Linked DNA regions of Canis lupus familiaris. The protein of the gene in region 4 binds, or shares a complex with, the protein of the main gene of each other region. Links are inferred from orthologs where the notes say so. Each region holds a gene or a part of one and is shown on either strand. Other genes may lie near its edges. The genes, in order: TAB1, RIPK2, CASP7, XIAP and CASP3.

Region 1 (4,177 bases), on a different chromosome or scaffold from region 4:
ACCTAATGGAGTTTCTTCAGTAATCTAACTAGAGCTCTCAAAAGTATGTTACATTTTGCCCACGCCCTCCTCCCCCTGGGTTCTATGTAGCCTCTGCTTCCCCTGCCTCTCCAGGCCTTGCTCCTGCTCCTTCACTGTTGTCTTCTCTAGTCCTCTCCATTTCAGGATTGACTTCTTTTCCTACATGTCTTAAAAGCACCTAAACTCAACACGTCCAAACCGAACTCAAGGCCATTCATTCCCTTCTCCCACTCCCCAGGATTTTCTAGCTGTTCTTTCCAGAAATCTGGGGGGAATCTCTGACAAACCTCTTCCCATCATCAACCCCAACCAATCCATGAATCAAGCCCTAACAATTTCATCTTCTACATAAAATCCATCCACTTGGCAGTGGCAGCTGACTCAAACCACTATCATCTCTTATCTCTTGCCTTGAGCAGACACAACGGTCCCTTAATTGGTCTTCACTTCAATACTCCTAAACATCTGTTTTGTCCAAAGTAGTCAAAGGGATCTTTCTACCAATGGGATCATGTCCCTGGCTTGCTCAGAAGTCAACAAGTTTCCTTTGTCCTCCGCATGAATAGCTCAACTCCCAGTCTTGGGCAGGCAAGGTCAGCCTTCGTCTCATTCAACCTTTCATCTGTGTTCCAGCCACAGAGACCTTCTGTGACATGCATGCGTCTTGAACGCACACTCACACGCTCCCTTTTCTCGTGCCTCGTGCACTAGCTGTCTGCCCTCCATCCCATGCCACATCCATAAACTTTTCTTCCTAGCATTTAGCCCACCTCGAAAATGATTTATGTACGTAAACGGTGTCCTCCCCAATGAAAACAGTAGCTTTCGGAGAGTGTCTTTCCTGCAGCTTCATCCCTATAGGGCCAGGCATGGCCACCTAATGAATATTGATGGAGTAAATGAATAATTCACCGGGCCCCAAACCCTAAGTGTCCATAAAGAACCCAAATCCTAGGAATCCCGGGTGGATCAGAGGTTTAATGCCTGCCTTCAGGCCAGGCGTGATCCTGGAGACCCGGGATCGAGTCCCACACCGGGTTCCCTGCATGGAGCCTGCTTCTCCCTCTGCCACACACAGTCTCTGCCTCTCTTTCTCTCTGTGTCTCTCATGAATAAATAAATAAAATCTTAAAAAAAAAAAACAAAAAACAAATCCGGTGTCTGAAAAGCATCCTGGAGAAAATGCGCAAATAAAATGGGCGAGAGGCAACCACTTAGGCAAGCCCTCCCTCTTCCCTCTTCCTCCGGGAGAGAAAGGGCAGAAGACGGCGCCTGCGCACACTCCCCGACCGCCCCATCCCCCTTCGGCCGCGCGGTGGCGCTGCGCGCGCGCTCCCGGCGGCGCGATCCTCCCGGCCGGCTTCAGGCCGCTCTAGCCGCCCTTCTCGCCTGCTCTGCTGGGAGGCGGGCGCAGCCGCGGGGGGTCCCTCCAAGATGGCGGCGCAGAGGAGGAGCCTGCTGCAGAGTGTGAGGAACCGAGCGGCTCCCCGGGCTGGGGGTTGGGAGCCCGAGGGGGCCCTGTCGGGTGCAGGCGCCGCTCCCTTCGGCCTGGCGAGGGGTGGCCGCCGCCCTCCCCTCTCCCGGGCCGGCCCCCCCTCACCTCCGAGGCCGGGGAGCGCGTGCAGCCGCGCGAGGCCCGCGCGTGCGCGCTGCCGCCGGCCGTCGGGGGCTGGGACTCGCGGTGCTGCGACCCCGAGCGTCGAGGGCGCGTGGAGGGCGGGGAGCGCCGTGCGCGCGGCGGCGGGGTGCCGGGCGGGGAGGCTAACCTCCCGGGTTTCCTGCCAGTTGCTTTACGTTGTAAGCTTAATTTATGTAACAGCCCCGGGAGGTTCCCGTTTGACGGGTGAGGAAACTGAGGCACAGAGGCGCAGTCCCTTGCCCAAGGCCGCGCAGCCAGTAAGTGGCAGTGACCCGAGTGGCAGCGGGTTCTGGTCCCGGCTTGGACGCACTATGCCTCAGTTTCCTTCCCTGTCACTGAGACTCCTCCCCCCCCCCCGTCCGGACCCTCGCGGGTCTGCAGCCGCTGCGTCCTCCTCAGGTGCCCAGGGATGCACACACACCTGGGCGCCCGGCGCCTGCACTGCCCTGCGCGCGGGGGTGCAGCTTCCCTGGACCCTCCCCAGGTGGGGGCCGGCTGTTGCGCCTGCCTGTGGACCGGTGCCTACGAGGAGTTCCAGCAGCACTTATCACAGGGTGCCAGGCACTCAGTAAATAATTGTAGAAAAGCCTTCGCAGCCATGTCCAGTGCCTGGCCGTGGCCTCACAGAGGTGCAGCAGACATTGGCCCTCCTGCCCTTGAGGGTCTTAATTAAGGCATCAGAGTCGGAGGGAGGGGTGACCTGCAGTTCTGCACACTAGTGACAGGCTTCGTGTAGGCTGTCTTTGAAATTGGTCTCCCGGTGAGGATTGCTCCCCTCCTCTGTTAGCCGCCCCTTTATTGGGCTGGTGCTCTGCCTGTCACCTCGTCATGGAGTTAGATAGTCCTGGTCCTCTGCTTTGTAAGCTTCCAGAGGGCAGAGCCTCTGCCAATTTCCCATTGTGAAAATCCCAGGAATACAAGCAGGACTGTAGTGAATGCTGGAAGTGGGAACTACTGTGGGGCGGCTTGGCTTGGTGAGGAGAGTGACTTCCAGCTCCTTCTCTTCTGGGTGTGATGGGGCCCAGAAGACTCAGGTTAGACAGAAGCTTTGCTAGTGCCAGCTCGTGTTCCTGGGTAGAAGTGGAAACTTTTAAAGACAGGATAATTAGCTTTAAGCGCATAGTATCGTGCTGAAGGGTAAGAGGATGGTAGCAGTGTCCACATGAGGCCCCTCTCACCCTAATGATGATCAAGCTATCTCTGCTCACAGGGTGTCTGAGTGTCCAGCAGTGTGTGATTGTCCAGGCTCGCTGACCTCTCCACTGGCCTGAGTCTGGTAAGGGCAGCTCAGATAACATCATTGAACAGAGGGCTGTAAGGGCTACTAGGCTGTGGTTGCAGGGCCTGGGGACACAAAGATAGGTAAAGTGTGTGCGCACCCTCAGTGCGTTTGCAGCATAGGAGGAGGAGCCACCTACCACTAACATAAGGAGGAAGGCACTGGGTTGTCAGTGTTGAGGGGCTGTGGGTGGCCTGATTTGACTGGGTCAGTGGAGGCTTGCAGGGAGGCCTGGGGATTTGCTGCCAACATGGTGCTGGGAGGGTGTGCTGGGGCCAGATGGCAGAGCATTGAGGAGTTTCACCTTTGGTCCCCAGCCAGCATGGTACCTTAAAAGTCTTTTTTTTTTTTTTTTTTGGTACCTTAAAAGTCTTGAAGAAAAGAAGAGCTTTTGAAGATAGCTTGATGTGTCCAAAGGAACTTGGGCCCTTCACAACCTAACAAAAGTACAAGTCTCATATGGACTGGGGCAAGCCACTTAACATCCCTGAACTTTGGTTCCCAAGAGAAAGGACTCCCAGGAGCATTATTAGGATTCACTGAACTAACACATTACAGTCCTGGCCTCACATGGTCACAGACCAGCATGAAGTTTCACCTTTGGTTCTGAGCACTTACCATGTGGCAGGCACAGTGTAGGTACAGGGGACACTTTTCCTCATGAAGCCTCTGTTCTAATGAGGGAGACAGTAACGATGAGTAAATACAGATTCTAAACAACACAATATCTGTAGCATCAGGTGTTGTGAGAATAGTCTGGATTCAGAGAATGGTGGGGGGAGCCTTTTAGAGTGATAGGGGAAGACCCTTCAACATTTGATGGGATGAAGTAGGGGATTTGGGAGGGGGTATTCCTGCTTGAAGGAATAGGGCTGCAAAGGCGTATGTGTTTGGGGAGTGCCAAGGAGGCCAGCGTGGCTGGAGTACGTGGTGGGGTGCGGTGGTAGCCAAGGTCCCAGGGACCTTACAGACACTGTGGACTTTGGATTCTATTCTAAGTGTGTTGTGAAACTGGGTGCTTTTTAGGAGGGCTGTATTTTGGAGGAAGAGCTGTTAGGATTTGCTGGTGGATCAGATGTGGGGGGGCCTGACAGGGGAAGAAGATTCTAGAAGCACTGCAGGGCTTCAGTGCTCTTTACTGGGATAGGGAACCCTGGAAGAGGAGCACATTTGAGGCTGGGAGAATCAAGAGTTTGGTTTTGCCTGTGCTACTCTGTACTTAATTATAAAAAGAAAAA
Region 2 (4,142 bases), on a different chromosome or scaffold from region 4:
AAAAAAGGAAAGATGTTTGGTTGTTTTAGGGTGGACATTAAAAATGAGCTGCATTAAAAAAAAAAAAAAAAAAAGAGCTGCATTCTTCCCAGTTCTCCGGGACTGAGAAGGGAATTTTCGCAGGTCTTACCTGGAGCCAGAGGGACTGACTTCCCAAAGCCACTTTTTCCACCTCCATAGAGTTACGGACGAAAGAGAGAAGAAAAAGACAGAGAAAGATAGAAAAGTAGGTCCCTAGGAGAGGAGCACCCGAGCCGAGCCCGGCGCCCAGGTGCGGCGTCCAGGTGGGCAGGAGACCTGAGCCCCCGCCCCGCCCCCTCCCCGCCCCCGCCCCGCCCACTCCCCGCGCAGGCGCACAGGCGGCAGCCGCGCCCCGCCCCCCGCCCCCCGCCCCCCACGGCCCGGGGTCCCGCGCGCTCCGTCCCCGCGGGGAGGCCCCGTTGGCCCTTCGGCCCGCGAGCTGCGGGCTGCGGGCTGCGAGGAACCTTCGTCGGGCGGAGGCAGGACGGACCAGCGGCCCCCGCCCCGCCCCGCCCGCAGGTGTCGCCCCGAGCCGTGGGCGCCCCCCCCCCGTGACGCAGACGTCCCCCTCCCCCCCCTCCCCCCCGCCCGGGGCCCGCCGTGACGTCACGGGGGCAGCTCGGGGAGGGAGGGGCTCGCGGAGGGAGGGGCGCCGCCTCCACGCGCAGGCGCCGCAGAGGGGCCGGCGGCCCCGGGAAGAGGAGTCCGCTCGCGCTGCGGGACAGCGGCGGCGGCTGGCGTGCGCCGCGCGGGCATGGGCTGCCCGGGCACCTAGTGCCCCGCCGCGGGAAGGGCCCGGCCGCCCCGGCTCCGGCTCCGGCTCCGGCTCCGGCTGCCATCGGGCTCCCGCTCCCGCTCCGCCTCCCGTTCCCGTCCGGCTCTCGCTCCGCTCCAGCCCCGGCTCTCGCTCCAGCCCCCTCCCCAGCTCCCGCTCCGCCTCCCCAGCTCCCGCCCCGGCTCCCGCTCCAGCCCCGGCTCCAGCTCCGGCTCCCGCTCCAGCTCCAGCCCCCCTCTCCGGCTCCCACTCCAGCTCCCGCCTCCTCCCCCTTTCTCGCTCCCCTCCCCAGCTCCAGCTCCAGCTCCAGCTCCAGCTCCAGCTCCAGCTCCCGCTCCCATCCCCGGCTCCCGCTCCTATCCCCAGCTCCAGCCCCGGCTCCCGGCCCCAGCTCCCGCTGCAGCCTCCGGCTCCCGCTCCCATCCCCAGCTCCAGCCCCGGCTCCGGCCCCCGGCTCCCGCCCCCAGCTCCCGCTGCAGCCTCCGGCCCCAGCTCCCGGCCCCGGCCCCCCGCCCGAGCGCGGCGCCCCCGAGCCTCTCCGGAAGCCTCCGCCGCGGCGGGCACACCCGAGCGGCCGCGCCCGCGACCATGAGCCGGGAGGGCCCCCGCAGCGCCCTGCCCACCATCCCCTGCCGCAAGCTCGCCGACCTGCGCTACCTGAGCCGCGGCGCGTCGGGCACCGTGTCGTCCGCCCGCCACGCGGACTGGCGCGTGCAGGTGGCCGTGAAGCAGCTGCACATCCACAGCCCGCTGCGCGACAGGTAGGGCGCCCCGCGGAGCCCCGGGCGAGCCAGCTCTGCGGCCCCGCCGCCTCCAGGCAGCCCTCCGGGGCTCGGGCCTTGCGCGGGGGCGGGGGCGGGGGGGGGCACCGGCTTCCCTGGAGATGCTTGCGTCGCCTTCCTCTGCCCGCTCCGCTGCCCTCTGCGTCTCCTCCTCCTTCCCTCCCAGTCCTGGGCTCCCTCCCTCCAGACGCCAAAAGCCGGGGTGCTTCGGTGTGGGGCTGCGGTGGGCTTGGCTTGGTTTGTGGTTTATTACGTAGGGTCCTGAAAGTTTAGGTTCCACGCTCCACTCGCTTCAGTTCCTCTCTCACTCGGTCAGGGAGGCCTTGGTCCCCCCAGAGGTCGTGTGGGTATTAGTTTGCGAACAATACGCTGAATCGCGTTGTTCCAGGAGTTCTGAACGCCACTCGCATCCTGGAACAATTTCCGTGCACCGGCTAGGTTGTCAGGGAAAGCCAGCAGTTTCTGCTTCCAGAGAAGCATCTCAATCCTATACCATTGCCCTGTGATCCAACCTATTGGTCAGTGGGTCTAGGCATTAGTCTTGCGTGTTTTCCTTCCTAGAGTCATTGGTCTTGCATATTTTCCTTCCACTCCACCAGGCCCTGCATTCAGTCCTTAGTGAGTTAACATCCATGATTGCAACATCCTCCTCTCCCCCCCCCCCCCCCCCCCCCCCCGTACCTAATATCCCAATTCATCACGCCGGGTGTCTGATTGGTCAGGGGCCATTAGTATCCAATGGCAGATAAATTCCTCAGCTTCAGCCCTGTGAATTTATGGGGCTTTCATCAGCCTGTAGCTTTTCTTTGCTTTCTTGCTATCAGGCTGGGATGGGTGAGATCTCACAGTAAATTTGAGACACCTCTAGAAATTGTTCCCACTCTTTATATGATCACAATCCAGGTCTCGTGTTAGATAAGATGTGGTGTCTGTTTCGCCTGGGCCTTGAGTTCTGTGGGGCAAGTGCTGGGCAAAGGTGGGTACATGTACGTAGTCAAGTTTGAAGGGTGGTGATTGGTTAGAAAGGGTGATCGTATTTTAGAATCAGCTATGAAAATCTATGGGTAACTAACCCTGATGGACCCGTTACGTATTCTACAGCAAATTCATCTGGCCATCTTGGAAGCTGCTCCTCAAGAGTTCAGTGTATCCCAGTTGTGTGCTATTTGAAGATCAAAGGAATGAAGAGGGGGTTCCCTTTTCTATTCTTAGCAACAATTTTCATAACCTGAAACTCTTCAGTAAATTAGTAGGGAATTCTGTGGTCAAAGAGGCCGTAAGGACCAGTTAAATCCTTTGGCATTATTGCATCAGGTTCTTTCCCCTACCTGTTACCTAAGATCTTAGCATTCACAGTATTTATGCAATCTGAGCAGTGGACTGAGCTATGCAGTTGACTCACAGGGTGTCCATTTACTCACTTATAAAGTGGGAATAATAATTGTATGTACTTTGGCTCCGGTGTGGAAAATGTTTGCATTGTTCAGAAAGAGAGAGAAAGGAAGGAAAGAAAAGAAAAGAAAGGGAAAAGAAAAAAAGAAGGAAGGAAGGAAAAGAAAAACAAGTTTATGTGCAGTCATGTGTTCTTATTTTAGTGACTTCTGCCCAATGAGTGGGCCTTCCCCTACCATCTCCTGACTCTTTCTGTGTAGATGAGTCTGATCAGTTGTTCAAACACCCTGTGACTGAAATTTTGATTTGGGTAATTTTGGTGATATGCCTCTAAAAAGCTGTGTCTTACATTTTTTTTTTTTTTTTTTTTTAGAAATATAAAAACCTGTCTTAGACCTATTTATTTTTGGCTTTTTCTGTTTTGCCTCTCACTCAGTCTTCCCGAAATCTGACTTCAAGAACTTCCCTTGATCCTTTCCTTCCTCCCATCAAGCAGTGGAATGGAAAGAACACAGGCTTTGAGTCCCACAACTGCAATTCAAACCTGATTGCAACCCTGCCATTTAATGTTGGCCTTATAGAGAAGGCCTTTCTAACTAACGTATCTGAGCCTCAGTGCCCTCATTTCAAGGGGTGATAAGGTAACCAGCTTTAGAAGGTTGGTGTTTGGGTGCTAGTGCATATAAAGTGGCTGACGCATAATAGGATCACAATAGAAGGAAGAATGCCTGATACTCTTAATGTGAGAAAGAACAGGTATATAAGTATCACTGAGACTTCGCCAGCATGCTCTCTCTATAGTGTTTTTTTTTTTCCAGTATACCTAGAAATTTTCAAATCCGTTCTCTGTCTCCAGTATGCTGAACAGTAAGATGTAGCTCTTGTTGACTTCCATCTTTTGAGGCAATCACAGAACTCCTTAAATTTAGAGAAGATGAGTTTAATCAAGACAGGTCTCATAAACATATCACTGGTTGCCTCACAGTTGGGGTGTTAAGTGGCTGAAGAAAGGGAGAAGGAAAAAGCTTTTTACTTTAGGACCTCTTGTAACTCTTGAATTTTCAAACGTATAAATATATTATCTATTCAGAGCGTACCCGACTTAAGATTTTTCGCTTTATTTTGCTTTTCGTTTGCTTTTAAAGCAAGCCTCCTGGTCTGGTGTGGAGTGT
Region 3 (4,211 bases), on a different chromosome or scaffold from region 4:
ATCGGGCTCCCTGCATGGAGCCTGCTTCTCCCTCTGCCTGTGTCTCTGCCTCTCTCTCTATGTCTATCATGAATAAATAAACAAAATCTTTTTTTTTTAAAAAGTGTCCTTTCTTCTCAGAGCCTCAACGCGTCATTAGTTAATTAGTTGCTGTCCCAGAGGCGTCTTGGAGAGAAAGGCATTGCAGGCGCCGGCTTCGGCCCAAGGGTGAAGAAAGGCAGAGTGCGGGGCTGTGGGAGCAGCAGCCGGGCGGGGGGCGGGACCAGGGGCGTGCAGGCCCCGCCCGCGGTGGGCCGGGTCACGGCCCCATGCCCAGTGGCCGGCACTTGGGGGCGCTCACTACTCTGGAGGGACCTCCGGCAAGTTCGCCGCGCTGCGAGGCGGGAGCTCGCCACCCGAGAGCGGAGTTCGAGTCCTGCCGCCCCCGCGAGTGGACACCGCACGCCCACCGGCGGCTCCAGGCCGGCCCCGGAGACGGGGACTCCAGTGCTGCGGGCGCCGAGCACCCCCTTCCCAGGGTCGGGGGCCCGGCGGGGGAAACGCCGTCTGGCTGTGGGAACGGGGTCCCCGCGGCGGGTGCGGAGGCCCGAGTGGGGGTGCGGACGGGGGCCGCAGCGGGAGGGGAGGAGGCGGGGAGCCCGGCGGGCGCCCGGTCCTCGAGCGCCGCCGAGTCCGCGGGGCGCGCTCTTCGGCGCGCGGCCGGTGTGCAGAGCGCGCCCCCGGGTCGCTGCGGGCGCCGCCGCGGGCTCAGCAGGTGCAGGTGCTCTCCCGGGGCTGCGGGAGAACTCTCCCAACTCTCCGAGGGCGCCGTCCGGGGGCGCGGCCAACTGCGCCCGGGCGCCTGCCACGTCCCCGGCCACGCGCGCGGCCCGCCGCGTTCTGCAGGGCGCGGGCGCGCGTGGGGGCGGGCCTCGGGGCGCGCGAGACACCTCGGGGAGAGCGCGGCCGCGGGAGCGGGAGGAGGTGCCCCGGCCCCGCCCCCGGCCACGCCCCCGGCCACGCCCCCGGCCCCGGCTCCGTCCCGCCCGGAGGACTGGCCGCGCGACTCCGCCCCCGGGCCCCGGCCCCGCCCCCAGGCCCCGGCCCCGCCCCCAGGCCCCGGCCCCGCCCCCAGGCCCCGCCCCCGGCTCCGCCCCAGACCCCGACCCCGACCCGCCCGGGGGACTGGCCCGCGCGACTCCGCCCCCCGGGCCCCGCCCCCGGCCCAGGCCCCGCCCCCCGGCCCCGCCCCCGGCCCCGGCTCCGTCCCGCCCGGAGGACTGGCCCGCACGACTCCGCTCCCGGGCCCCGGCCCCGCCCCCAGCCCCGCCCCCGGGCCCCGCCTCAAGCCCCGCCCCCGCCTCCAGCCCCGCCCCTTCCCAGGCCCCGCCCCGACCCCGGCTCCGCCCCCGACCCCGCCCCGCCCCGGGGACTGGCCCGCGCGACTCCGCCCTCGGCCGCCCGGGCTTTCACTTTCGCTTTCTTGCGGGCGGCCCCAGACCCTATCCGCGGAGGGACCGAGACGGACGCCAGCCCCGCCGCCCGCCGCCCGCCGCTGCGGACACGGTAACCTCGCGGCCCCCCTCGCGCCGAGTCCGGGGAGAGGGCCCGGCCCAGCTCGCTCCGCTCCGCCCAGCCCAGCCCAGCCCAGCCCAGCCCAGCCCAGCCCAGCCGGCCCTCGGTTCCCTGCTGGCCGCGGGCCGGGACAGCCCTGCAGCTCGGCTTTTGGGAAAGGGGGCGTGGAGGGAGCCGGGAGGGAGGGGGTGGCGGTCTCGCCCGGCTGACCGCGAGCGCCCCGCTGTCGGACCACCCTGGGCGCTGGTCCCCGCGCCGCTCTAAGTCAGCCGCGGGCCTCGCTGTGCCCGTCTGTCAAATGGGAACGGTGCTGATCGCGGCCTGGGGGGCGCCGGGAGGATGGAAGTTGGTCACCGGTGCATATAGCAGGAGGGCCTGGGTCAGGGCTCAGTGTGCAGGAGCTGCTGACCTCCTGCCTGGGGCCGCTGGTGCAGGGCCCTTGAAGATCTCTTGAGGAGGTGAAAAAAACAGGACCACAGTCGACCTTGCAACCTTTCACCGTGTGTTCAAGTTTATCGTAACGGAGCAGTAAAATTACCTGTGGGTTACTCTGTGTGGGCCATGCTCAGGCTCTTCCCTTGAACTCTTGCTCTGGTGGACTGTGTGGCCCTGTCCTTTATTTACTTACAGCCTATTTCCTCCTTCAGGGGCTGCTGACCTTCAGCCCCTATGAACAGCCCTCACCTGGGTTCATAATCCACCTCTGCTTCCTGTTAGTTGTGTGGCCTTGGGCAGGTTACTTAAACTCTCTGAAGAAACCCAGGTTTCTTCTGCAATGGGCAGGGGCTCCAGCCTCCTAGCAGTGCTGCGAGCCTCTGGTGACAGGGGTACCCAAGTACCAGGGGCGCCTTCTCCAAGTGCCAAAGGTGAAAGGTCCTCAGGGCTGCTTCTCTTTGAGCCTTTTAGGGAGATTGTCTTCACTGGGGCAAGAGTGGGGGCAAGTTGCGTTATGCCACTTTTCAGAGGAAGTAGATGCAATGAGTCCTCCCACTCATGGAAAAAAAGTTCAGGATATAGCCAGAAGTGATTTCCTACCAGATATGTACCAGTCGCCTATTAAAACATGTTTAGGAACAATCACCAGAGAAATATTTTTTCATTCTCTGTAAAAGCTGCTTAAAATATCCGTGAAGGTTGGCAGTTGAATGTGTTCTTGGTCTTGAGTTCTGCTGACAGTGGCGATAATAAGGAATGTTTATTGAACATCTAGAATGTGCTATACTGTACTTAGTACTTTACATGCGTTTTTCCATTCATCTCACAGCCTGTGACTTAGGCATCATTATCTTCCCAATTCACAGATGAGGAAGCTGAGGCTCAAAGAAATTGAGCCCCTTTGTTCAAGGTCCCATGGCTAGTAGATGGAGGAGCCAGTTTAATCCCTGATCTGCTCTTCCCATGACTGGGCTCTCAACTTGGTTGTGTTCTCTGTCCTGTGTCAATAATTTATTCAGACACTGAATGATTTAAACATTTTAAGTATATTTTAATTAAAACATTTATTAAAAAAATATTTATCGGGACAGCTGGGTGACTCAGTCAGTTAAGCATTCAACTCTTGATTTCAGCTCGGGTCATGATCTCAGGATCCAGCCGCTGCATCAGGCACGGCACTGGGCATGGAGCCTGCTTAAGATCTGTCTCTCTGCTCTCCCTTTGCCAATTCCCCCCATCCTTCTCTTAAAAGAAAAAAAAAGAAAGATTTATTTATATTTTTTTAAGATTTTATTTATTTATTCATGAGAGAGACAGAGAGAGAGAGAGAGAGGCAGAGAGGGAAGCAGGCTCCATGCAGGGACCCTGACGTGGAACTCGATCCCGGGTCTCCAGGATCATGCCCTGGGCTGCAGGCGGCGCTAAACCGCTGAGCCACCAGGGCTGCCCAAAAGAAAGATTTATTGAGTGTCCACTATGTTCTGTCCAGAACTTTTCTATAACTGAAACAAAAAAGGGTAATTAAGATACACTCTAGTTGAGATACACTCTCTGTTCGCAAAGAGTTCGAATCTTACTGGATACTAATGACAATAAGGATGACAAGAGCTAACCGGGAGTGCTTACGTGGAGCTCCTGGCAGTGCTAGTGCTTTATGTGCATCACGTACTGATTCATTTAGAGAGAAGATCGACACGTGTAATTGAAGACAGATGCGCTGTTGGATGAGCAGGAGCACTTGTGTGCTGACTGTTCTTTATGGCCTGAACCCTAAAAGAGGATGAACACTGGAAAACAACACTAGGCCTGCCCCATCTAGGCACAGCAGAGCTGAGATAGATAGATTTTCCTGGTGGGCTCTGAGTATGAGTGGAAATACAGGGTCAACACCACATCTTGGCTTGGCTGAAATGATGTGGCCGACATCAGGCACCCTGCTGGGTCAGCACCCTTGTTCTGGGTGAACTTGATTTTCCCCAGAAATCAAGCCTGGCCTCATGGGAGTAAGAAAGTCACTGAATGTTTGCTGTCACCCTACACAGTGCTCAGCATCAATCCAGAAAGAAGCTGTAGGTTTCAGACGGAAGACCCTTCTTGCCTAGTGTTTGGGGGGAAAGCTCATGGAAAGCCTCCCACACTGAACCATAGAAGTGAGACTGAATTTTATGTCTTGGTAGCCAAGTCCAAAGTCCCCTCCATGTGGCTGGGAAGGACAAGGACTT
Region 4 (4,150 bases):
TCTGGGAAACAATAATGAAAAGTCATGGAGACTATCTTCCAAAAATAGTTCTATGCAGATATATCTCTGCTCTTGCGGTATATATGAATTACTACCATTGTAAATTGACAAGACCAGGAAAGACTGAAGTTTATTGCCACCCTGCAAGACTTGTGTTGAACATTATTACACTGAAATGATGTTCCAAGACATATTGTGCTAACATAATGCCAGGGCTGCTAATTCTTCCCAAGAAATCAATTAATTGACATATGAAGTAGAGGCAGAATTATCATGACCATTCTTTTTCTTTTTTTTTTTTTTGCCAAACATATACTGAGCACACACAGTATTAGGAATAGTGCGAGATTCTAGAGAATCAGGTTTGCCTGGGGCAACCCTGATTTATCCCTGTTGTCCTAGTGTAATTATTAGTAGCATCATTTTTCACTTTCCAAAGTGTCCAGGTTTGGAGGATAAATTATCTGGCCACCCTTCTCATAACCCACCTAGTTCCTTTAGTATTTTATTTCGGTTATATGTTACACAGCTATAATGTGGCAATTTTAATGAGGCTGCAGTAGTACTTCTCTTCCATTTGAACAGATCATTTTTCGACCATGGGAAGTTGATAGCAAAACTTACTGCAATTAAGGTCTATACATACTTACTATCTTTCCTGAGCTACCCTCTAGAGGGCAGTAATATATACATCCGAAATGATCCAATTCCCACAGAAAATGGACTACAGGAGTCCCATTTTCATATGCATGAAAATCAGAAACACTCAAGTGCTCTTAAACACTCGATGCTCATATTGGAACCAGTGTTGTGAGTAAAACTCAAATACCTTTTGCTAAGCAGAAAAGTAAAGAAATAATAAAAATTAATTCATTAACATTCTGAACATTTTTTTTAAATTGAAAAACTGAACTTTGATGGCTTGAATATATAATGATCTATTATAACAATTATGCATAGAGTTTAATAATCTGCATAATTTATGCTTTTGTTTTTCCTAATTAATAATTTTACATGGTTAATAATTTTAATATATTCTGTATCACAGTTTCCATATTTACATAAAGTAATCAATTAAAGAACAGTTTTATTCTACCTGCTTGAATATTACTTTCCTCCAGAAAATGAAAATGCTGGTTTTTACTTTATAAAGCTTGAATCATATAATGCAGAGCTCTAGTATTTGGAATTAGAATGTTTTTTTTAGAGATTGTGTAATTAATTTTATGTCATCAGGTAATTTGTTAGCTCCTAATATCAAAATTATATTGCCTGTGTTTCAGATTTTGAATTTTCTAATGTAATGTTCTCTTTTCAGAAAAGGTGGACAAGTCCTATTTTCAAGAGAAGATGACTTTTAACAGTTTTGAAGGAGCTAAAACTTGTGTACCTGCAGGCATCAATAAGGATGAAGAATTTGTAGAAGAGTTTAATAGATTAAAAACTTTTGCTAATTTTCCAAGTAGCAGTCCTGTTTCAGCATCAACGTTAGCACGAGCTGGTTTTCTGTATACTGGTGAAGGAGATACTGTGCGGTGCTTTAGTTGTCATGCATCAATAGATAGATGGCAATATGGAGACTCAGCAGTTGGAAGACACAGGAAAGTATCCCCAAATTGCAGATTTATCAATGGCTTTTATTTTGAAAACACTGCTGCACAACCTACAAATCCAGGTATCCAAAATGGTCAATATAATGCAGAAAACTATCTGAGAAACAGAGATCATTTTGTTTTAGACAGACCATCTGAGACTCATGCAGATTATCTTTTGAGAACTGGACAGGTCGTAGATATATCAGACACCACATACCCGGAGAACCCTGCCATGTATAGTGAAGAAGCTAGATTAAACTCATTTCAGAACTGGCCAGACTATGTCCACTTGACCCCAAGAGAGTTAGCTAGTGCTGGATTCTACTACACAGGTATTGACGATCAAGTGCAGTGCTTTTGTTGTGGTGGAAAACTGAAAAATTGGGAACCGTGTGATAATGCATGGTCAGAACACAGGCGACACTTTCCTAATTGCTTCTTTGTTCTGGGCCGGAATGTTAATATTCGAAGTGAATCTGATGTTGCGAGTACTGATAGGAACGTCCCAAATTCAACAAGTATTCCAGAAAATCCAGCCATGGCAGATTATGAAGCACGGATCGTTACTTTTCGGATGTGGATGTGTTCAATTAACAAGGAGCAACTTGCAAGAGCTGGATTTTATTCTTTAGGTAAACTTTATTATAAAACCAGGCTAATAAATAACTTTCCAACTATCCCAGTCCCCCTAAAAAGTGGATTCCTTTAGCCCCCTGAACTGGTAAATAAAGGCTGGCATGATTAATCTGTGAACCTTTATGTTGAATTTGCAGTGTAACTACTACATTTATGTGAAAAAGGACTACTATATTGTGAGTTATATTTATCTTTGTTTTTTTGGAGAAGGATTACATGCAAAAGATGATAGATCTCCCAGATAGAAGAATGGGTCTGACAGTAATATAAACTATAATTTATTGAGCACCTACTGTATGTGCTCAGTACATGTATCACATGCATTCTTTCTATACCTCATAAAAAGAGTTAACATTAGAGAGTTTAGTTTGGCTGATATTAAAATTGATACCTGCCTTTTGTACATAGAGTTTATATTTGAAAGCTGCCCTGTATGCCTTTTTGCTTCAAATAAGCACTTCTCTTTTTTTTTTTTTTTTTTTTTTTTAAATAAGCACTTCTCAAATGGACTACTGTAAACTTGTCAGGAAGGGCCCTTAGTGTGATGACTTCCAGGAATATTCAGAAAAGTTATACCATCATATATCTGACTCATTAGCTTTAGGATTGAGTAGTGCCAAAATACAAAATATTAGTTATTTCAATATTTTATTCACATAGTATCCTGTAGCAATTTTGAAGGTTTGTTTAGTGTCATGTAGCTATAACCCTAGAGAAACTTACTTTGTAATTTTGTTAACCTGAGCCTTATTGTTAAAGTTTCACAGTTTGAAAAAGTGTAGTATTGGTAGACCCAAATGATAACAATTTTAATTTTTCACATAAAAATTGGTCAATTTATTTTGTCTTCTGTAAAATACCTCAAATTGAATCAGTGAATTTAGTGTGTATTCCCTCCTCAAACAGTCATGGCTGTTATTTAAATGTGAATTTGAATGTCGTCTTTGAAGCTGAGATTCTCATGTAATTTAAAATGGTTAATTTCATGGTGTTAAAGGGGCATTTTTGCATAGGCTTCTAATTGCACAAATACATGTATTTTTACTTGTGTCTCTTCTTAGGGGATGGTGATAAAGTAAAATGCTTTCACTGTGGAGGAGGACTAACTGATTGGAAGCCCAGTGAAGACCCTTGGGAACAACATGCTAAGTGGTTTCCAGGGTAAGGTATTTAAATGTTTATTTAGGAACAGGCAAGTTAGACACTTTGCAGTCAGGAAAATCTTGAATAACTTTTCACCTAACTATTTTTGCCTTCACTATGGCTTGCAATTCACACCAAGTTTATAAAAATGGGGTCACCTACTTTATAGAAAAAAAAAGGCCCTAAGCCTTCTCTGGTGACCAAAGCATTCATTGCTTATATGTTATATATATGACATTCAAATTATTCTATTTCTAAACACTAATTAGGAATATATAGTTTTGTTGTTAGAAGTAGGCTCTTTCACAATGACCACGGGAGAGCCCTTGTTGCCAAGGATTTTTTCCTTGGAACCCATCACATCCCCTAGCAAATTTTACTGTATCTCTCTGATTATAAGACACACAATTGTTCACATTTTCAAATTTTTGAAATGATACATCTGGTGGTGGGTCATAATTTAATTGGCAGCGGTGGTACATAAAATAATCATCCTTCTTATAATCAGTGGCATCTTAGAATGATAATAACATACTCTGTCTCTTTGTCATCTTGTTTCTTTAAAAATATTCATACATATAAGTGATGTAAAATTTTTGACCTACAAACTAGTACAATTTAAAACTTCAGAGCGATTGTTTGAAAATAAATCTTAAGCTTAAAAAGCCTTAAAAGGAAAGGTTGAAAGCCTAAGGAGTTCCTTCAGAGTGTGTAGTTGGTTAATCCTCTAAACAAAATTAAACTATTTAAAAAATTAAATCTTAAATTTAATAACT
Region 5 (2,407 bases), on a different chromosome or scaffold from region 4:
TTAATACACAATCATTAAGGTAAAAACAAACAAACGTCCACCAGCATTACTAGCCATAAAAAGAAAATAACCACCACCTCTCATTTCAGGGGAGACGATGCTGGACGAGGGGAAAGTGTGCTGTGCATACACCTCTGCTTTAGGCAAGGAAAAAAGTTGTGGACTACCTTCCCTGCTGAAGGATGGTGAGCTCTCTTTTTCGGTTTCCCTTCTCACAGGGAGGAAGGGAAACATGCAAAAGATCAGAGGCCAACGGATAAGAAGCACCACTGTTAAGTAGCATGGTGTTGTAGTCAGATCATGGTTTATTCAAGAAATATATCGCTTACATATGCACAGACATTTGGGTGTCCTAAATTTGTCTACAAGGCATCTGAAAAATATGATAGAGACATCAAAGAGTATTCAAAAACTCCAAAAAGGGGAAAGCAATGTATTTATTGTACTAATTTTCAGATTAACTATCAGATTTATTGCTTCTAATTTAGAAGTACTTTACCTGGAAAAATGTCTTGAGGTTCAAAAGAAATCCTATTGAGCATATTTTAAAATGTAACATTGTTTAACCTCACATTTATTTGTCCTCTATTTGCAAACTTTGTGAAACCCTGAGTCAGCTATATAATAAATAAATTGCAAGAGCAATCAATATTTATTGATCTGAGGACATAAAAACATAGAATGACCTGGTTCTTTTCCCTCATGACACTTTGCCCTCCTACATGCTATTCAGGTTTATTTTTATTATTATTTCCTATCTTCCAAAGGATTCCTGGAAAATGTACTAATCTCCTATTCTAAGAAGTGGACAAGCTCTGCCAAATACCAGACATGACAAGAAGGCACATATTGTACACCATGTTACAAAATTACAATACATTATTCTATATTAACAATATAGTCTCCTATCTGGCATTAAGTTCCTGAATGACACAGTGGAAGTAAGCTTTCTTATAAATGCACATTTTACAGCCAGACAGTTGCTAAAGACAACTTCCTGATGCTTCTCTGTAGCTAAGGTAACGAAATACGGATCAGTTAGCTGTTCATGAATATCAAAATCGTGATAGCCTTTGGAACACTGGTTTTGTGTTTAAAATCTCCATGTAATGTTCATTATTTGTAACTGTCTTACCAGGGGCTGTAGAGTAAGCATACAAGAAGTCCGCTTCGACTGGTATTTTCTGACAGGCCATGTCATCCTCAATTCCACTGTCAGTCTCAATACCACAGTCTAGTTCTGTACCTCGGCAGGCCTAGAGGTTAAAAGATAAGTGTTTAGGGGTATGTGGGTAGCTCAGTGGGATAAGCGTCTGACTCTTGATCTCAGCTTAGGCCTTGATCTCAGGGTCATGAGTTCAAACCCCATGCTGGGCTCCACACTGGGCACGGAGCTTACTTAAAAAATATCAAGGCTGTGTAAAAATGGAGGTTAACTATGAAGAGTCTTTTTGATCCAAGTCTAGCATGAACATTTATTCTATATCTAATGAGTGATAGTTTAAATGAATAAAAAAGTCACAGTAGTTCAGTAGCTTCAGTGGAAAAAATAAATCCATTGGTTAATCCACAAATGAGCAAATTAATCCCCAATTAATTCTCAGTAATTAATTCTAGTTGTTTAGTCATAGATTACCTGAATAATGAAAAGTTTGGGTTTTCCAGTCAGACTTCTACAGTAATCTCCTCGGAAGAAACCTGTTACTTTTCTCAGGTCAACAGGTCCATTTGTTCCAAAAATTATTCCTTCATCCCCATGGCTTAGAAGCACGCAAACAAAACTGCTCCTTTTGCTATGATCTTCTTTAGAGACTGGAAAAATGTTTACAAGTAAGGAAAATAAACAAAAAAAACCAACACAGCTTCATTTACCAATCAATCTCCAATTAAACTGTACAGGAGTAAGGTGAAGAAACTTGAGGACAGAACTGAGACATCACTGCAACCCAAGTTGGGGCAGGTCAATATACCTCAAAATCACTTTAGGAAATTAAAAAAAAAAAAAAAAAAAAAAAAAAGGGCAGCCCGGGTGGCTCAGCGCCACCTTCGGTCCTGGGTGTGGTCCTGGAGACCTGGGATCGTGTCCCACGTTGGGCTACCTGCATGGAATGGAGCCTGCTTCTCCCTGTGTCTGTGCCTCTCTCTCTCTCTCTGTCTGTCTCTCATGAATAAATAAATAAAATTAAAAAAAAAATCACTTTAGGGAGGTGACACGAATAACTTTTATTTTACATATATAAAATGTAGAATTATGTAGAGTATGGTACCACAGTTCTTTATAATTACAGCTACACTGTAATATAAAATTAGACAATGAAGGTAGGTCACTCTTTTAATTATTTCTTACCACTGTTCATTAATTCCAAAATTTCTTCGCATGTGAGATCATTTTTATTTCTGACTTCAT

The links.
Region 1: the proteins of XIAP (region 4) and TAB1 are in contact, whole or in part, in a crystal structure (PDB 2POP), measured with the Homo sapiens proteins. The link is inferred for Canis lupus familiaris from reciprocal best matches to the Homo sapiens genes XIAP and TAB1. Residues at the interface, in NP_001158.2 of Homo sapiens: Phe33, Ala34, Ser38, Gly39, Pro41, Ser43, Ala44, Ser45, Thr46, Arg49, Tyr75, Ser78, Ala79, Val80, Gly81, Arg84, Phe92, Ile93, Gly95, Tyr97, Leu98; in NP_006107.1 of Homo sapiens: Glu99, Ala100, Arg103, Thr201, Gln202, Leu203, Glu212, Asp213, Phe216, Arg217, Gln220, Arg241, Glu269, Glu271, Ile272, His273, Ala275, Gln276, Pro277.
Region 2: the proteins of XIAP (region 4) and RIPK2 are in contact, whole or in part, in a cryo-EM structure (PDB 8AZA), measured with the Homo sapiens proteins. The link is inferred for Canis lupus familiaris from reciprocal best matches to the Homo sapiens genes XIAP and RIPK2. Residues at the interface, in NP_001158.2 of Homo sapiens: Lys208, Asn209, Trp210, Glu211, Pro212, Cys213; in NP_003812.1 of Homo sapiens: His136, Asn137, Met138, Thr139, Pro141, Ile208, Asp278, Glu279, Arg280, Ser282, Lys285.
Region 3: the proteins of XIAP (region 4) and CASP7 are in contact, whole or in part, in a crystal structure (PDB 1I51), measured with the Homo sapiens proteins. The link is inferred for Canis lupus familiaris from reciprocal best matches to the Homo sapiens genes XIAP and CASP7. Residues at the interface, in NP_001158.2 of Homo sapiens: His136, Ala137, Leu140, Leu141, Gly144, Gln145, Val146, Val147, Asp148, Ile149, Ser150, Asp151; in NP_001218.1 of Homo sapiens: Tyr230, Trp232, Arg233, Ser234, Pro235, Gly236, Arg237, Trp240, Glu274, Ser275, Gln276, Asp279, His281, Phe282.
Region 5: the proteins of XIAP (region 4) and CASP3 are in contact, whole or in part, in a crystal structure (PDB 1I3O), measured with the Homo sapiens proteins. The link is inferred for Canis lupus familiaris from reciprocal best matches to the Homo sapiens genes XIAP and CASP3. Residues at the interface, in NP_001158.2 of Homo sapiens: Ala137, Leu140, Leu141, Gly144, Gln145, Val146, Val147, Asp148, Ile149, Ser150, Asp151, Thr152, Ile153, Tyr154, Asn226, Leu231, Gly232, Arg233, Asn234; in NP_001341706.1 of Homo sapiens: Tyr204, Trp206, Arg207, Asn208, Ser209, Lys210, Asp211, Trp214, Gln217, Lys242, Thr245, Glu246, Phe247, Glu248, Ser249, Phe250, Phe252, Thr255, Phe256.

What each region holds. Positions count from the first base shown.
Region 1 is NC_049231.1:26,615,922-26,620,098, reverse strand, and holds the start of TAB1 (TGF-beta-activated kinase 1 and MAP3K7-binding protein 1), read left to right. Parts: upstream 1-1,368; 5' UTR 1,369-1,455; coding exon 1,456-1,488; intron 1,489-2,870; exon of another isoform or gene 2,871-2,936; intron 2,937-4,177. UniProt on the Homo sapiens protein: Key adapter protein that plays an essential role in JNK and NF-kappa-B activation and proinflammatory cytokines production in response to stimulation with TLRs and cytokines.
Region 2 is NC_049250.1:35,924,805-35,928,946, forward strand, and holds the start of RIPK2 (receptor-interacting serine/threonine-protein kinase 2), read left to right. Parts: upstream 1-1,330; 5' UTR 1,331-1,384; coding exon 1,385-1,557; intron 1,558-4,142.
Region 3 is NC_049249.1:24,894,851-24,899,061, forward strand, and holds the start of CASP7 (caspase-7), read left to right. Parts: upstream 1-1,401; 5' UTR 1,402-1,545; intron 1,546-4,211. UniProt on the Homo sapiens protein: Thiol protease involved in different programmed cell death processes, such as apoptosis, pyroptosis or granzyme-mediated programmed cell death, by proteolytically cleaving target proteins.
Region 4 is NC_049260.1:96,092,471-96,096,620, forward strand, and holds the start of XIAP (E3 ubiquitin-protein ligase XIAP), read left to right. Parts: upstream 1-1,342; 5' UTR 1,343-1,350; coding exon 1,351-2,227; intron 2,228-3,292; coding exon 3,293-3,392; intron 3,393-4,150.
Region 5 is NC_049237.1:46,865,717-46,868,123, reverse strand, and holds part of CASP3 (caspase-3), read right to left. Parts: coding exon 2,348-2,407; intron 1,813-2,347; coding exon 1,637-1,812; intron 1,257-1,636; coding exon 1,136-1,256; intron 950-1,135; exon of another isoform or gene 90-949; intron 1-89. UniProt on the Homo sapiens protein: Thiol protease that acts as a major effector caspase involved in the execution phase of apoptosis. Following cleavage and activation by initiator caspases (CASP8, CASP9 and/or CASP10), mediates execution of apoptosis by catalyzing cleavage of many proteins.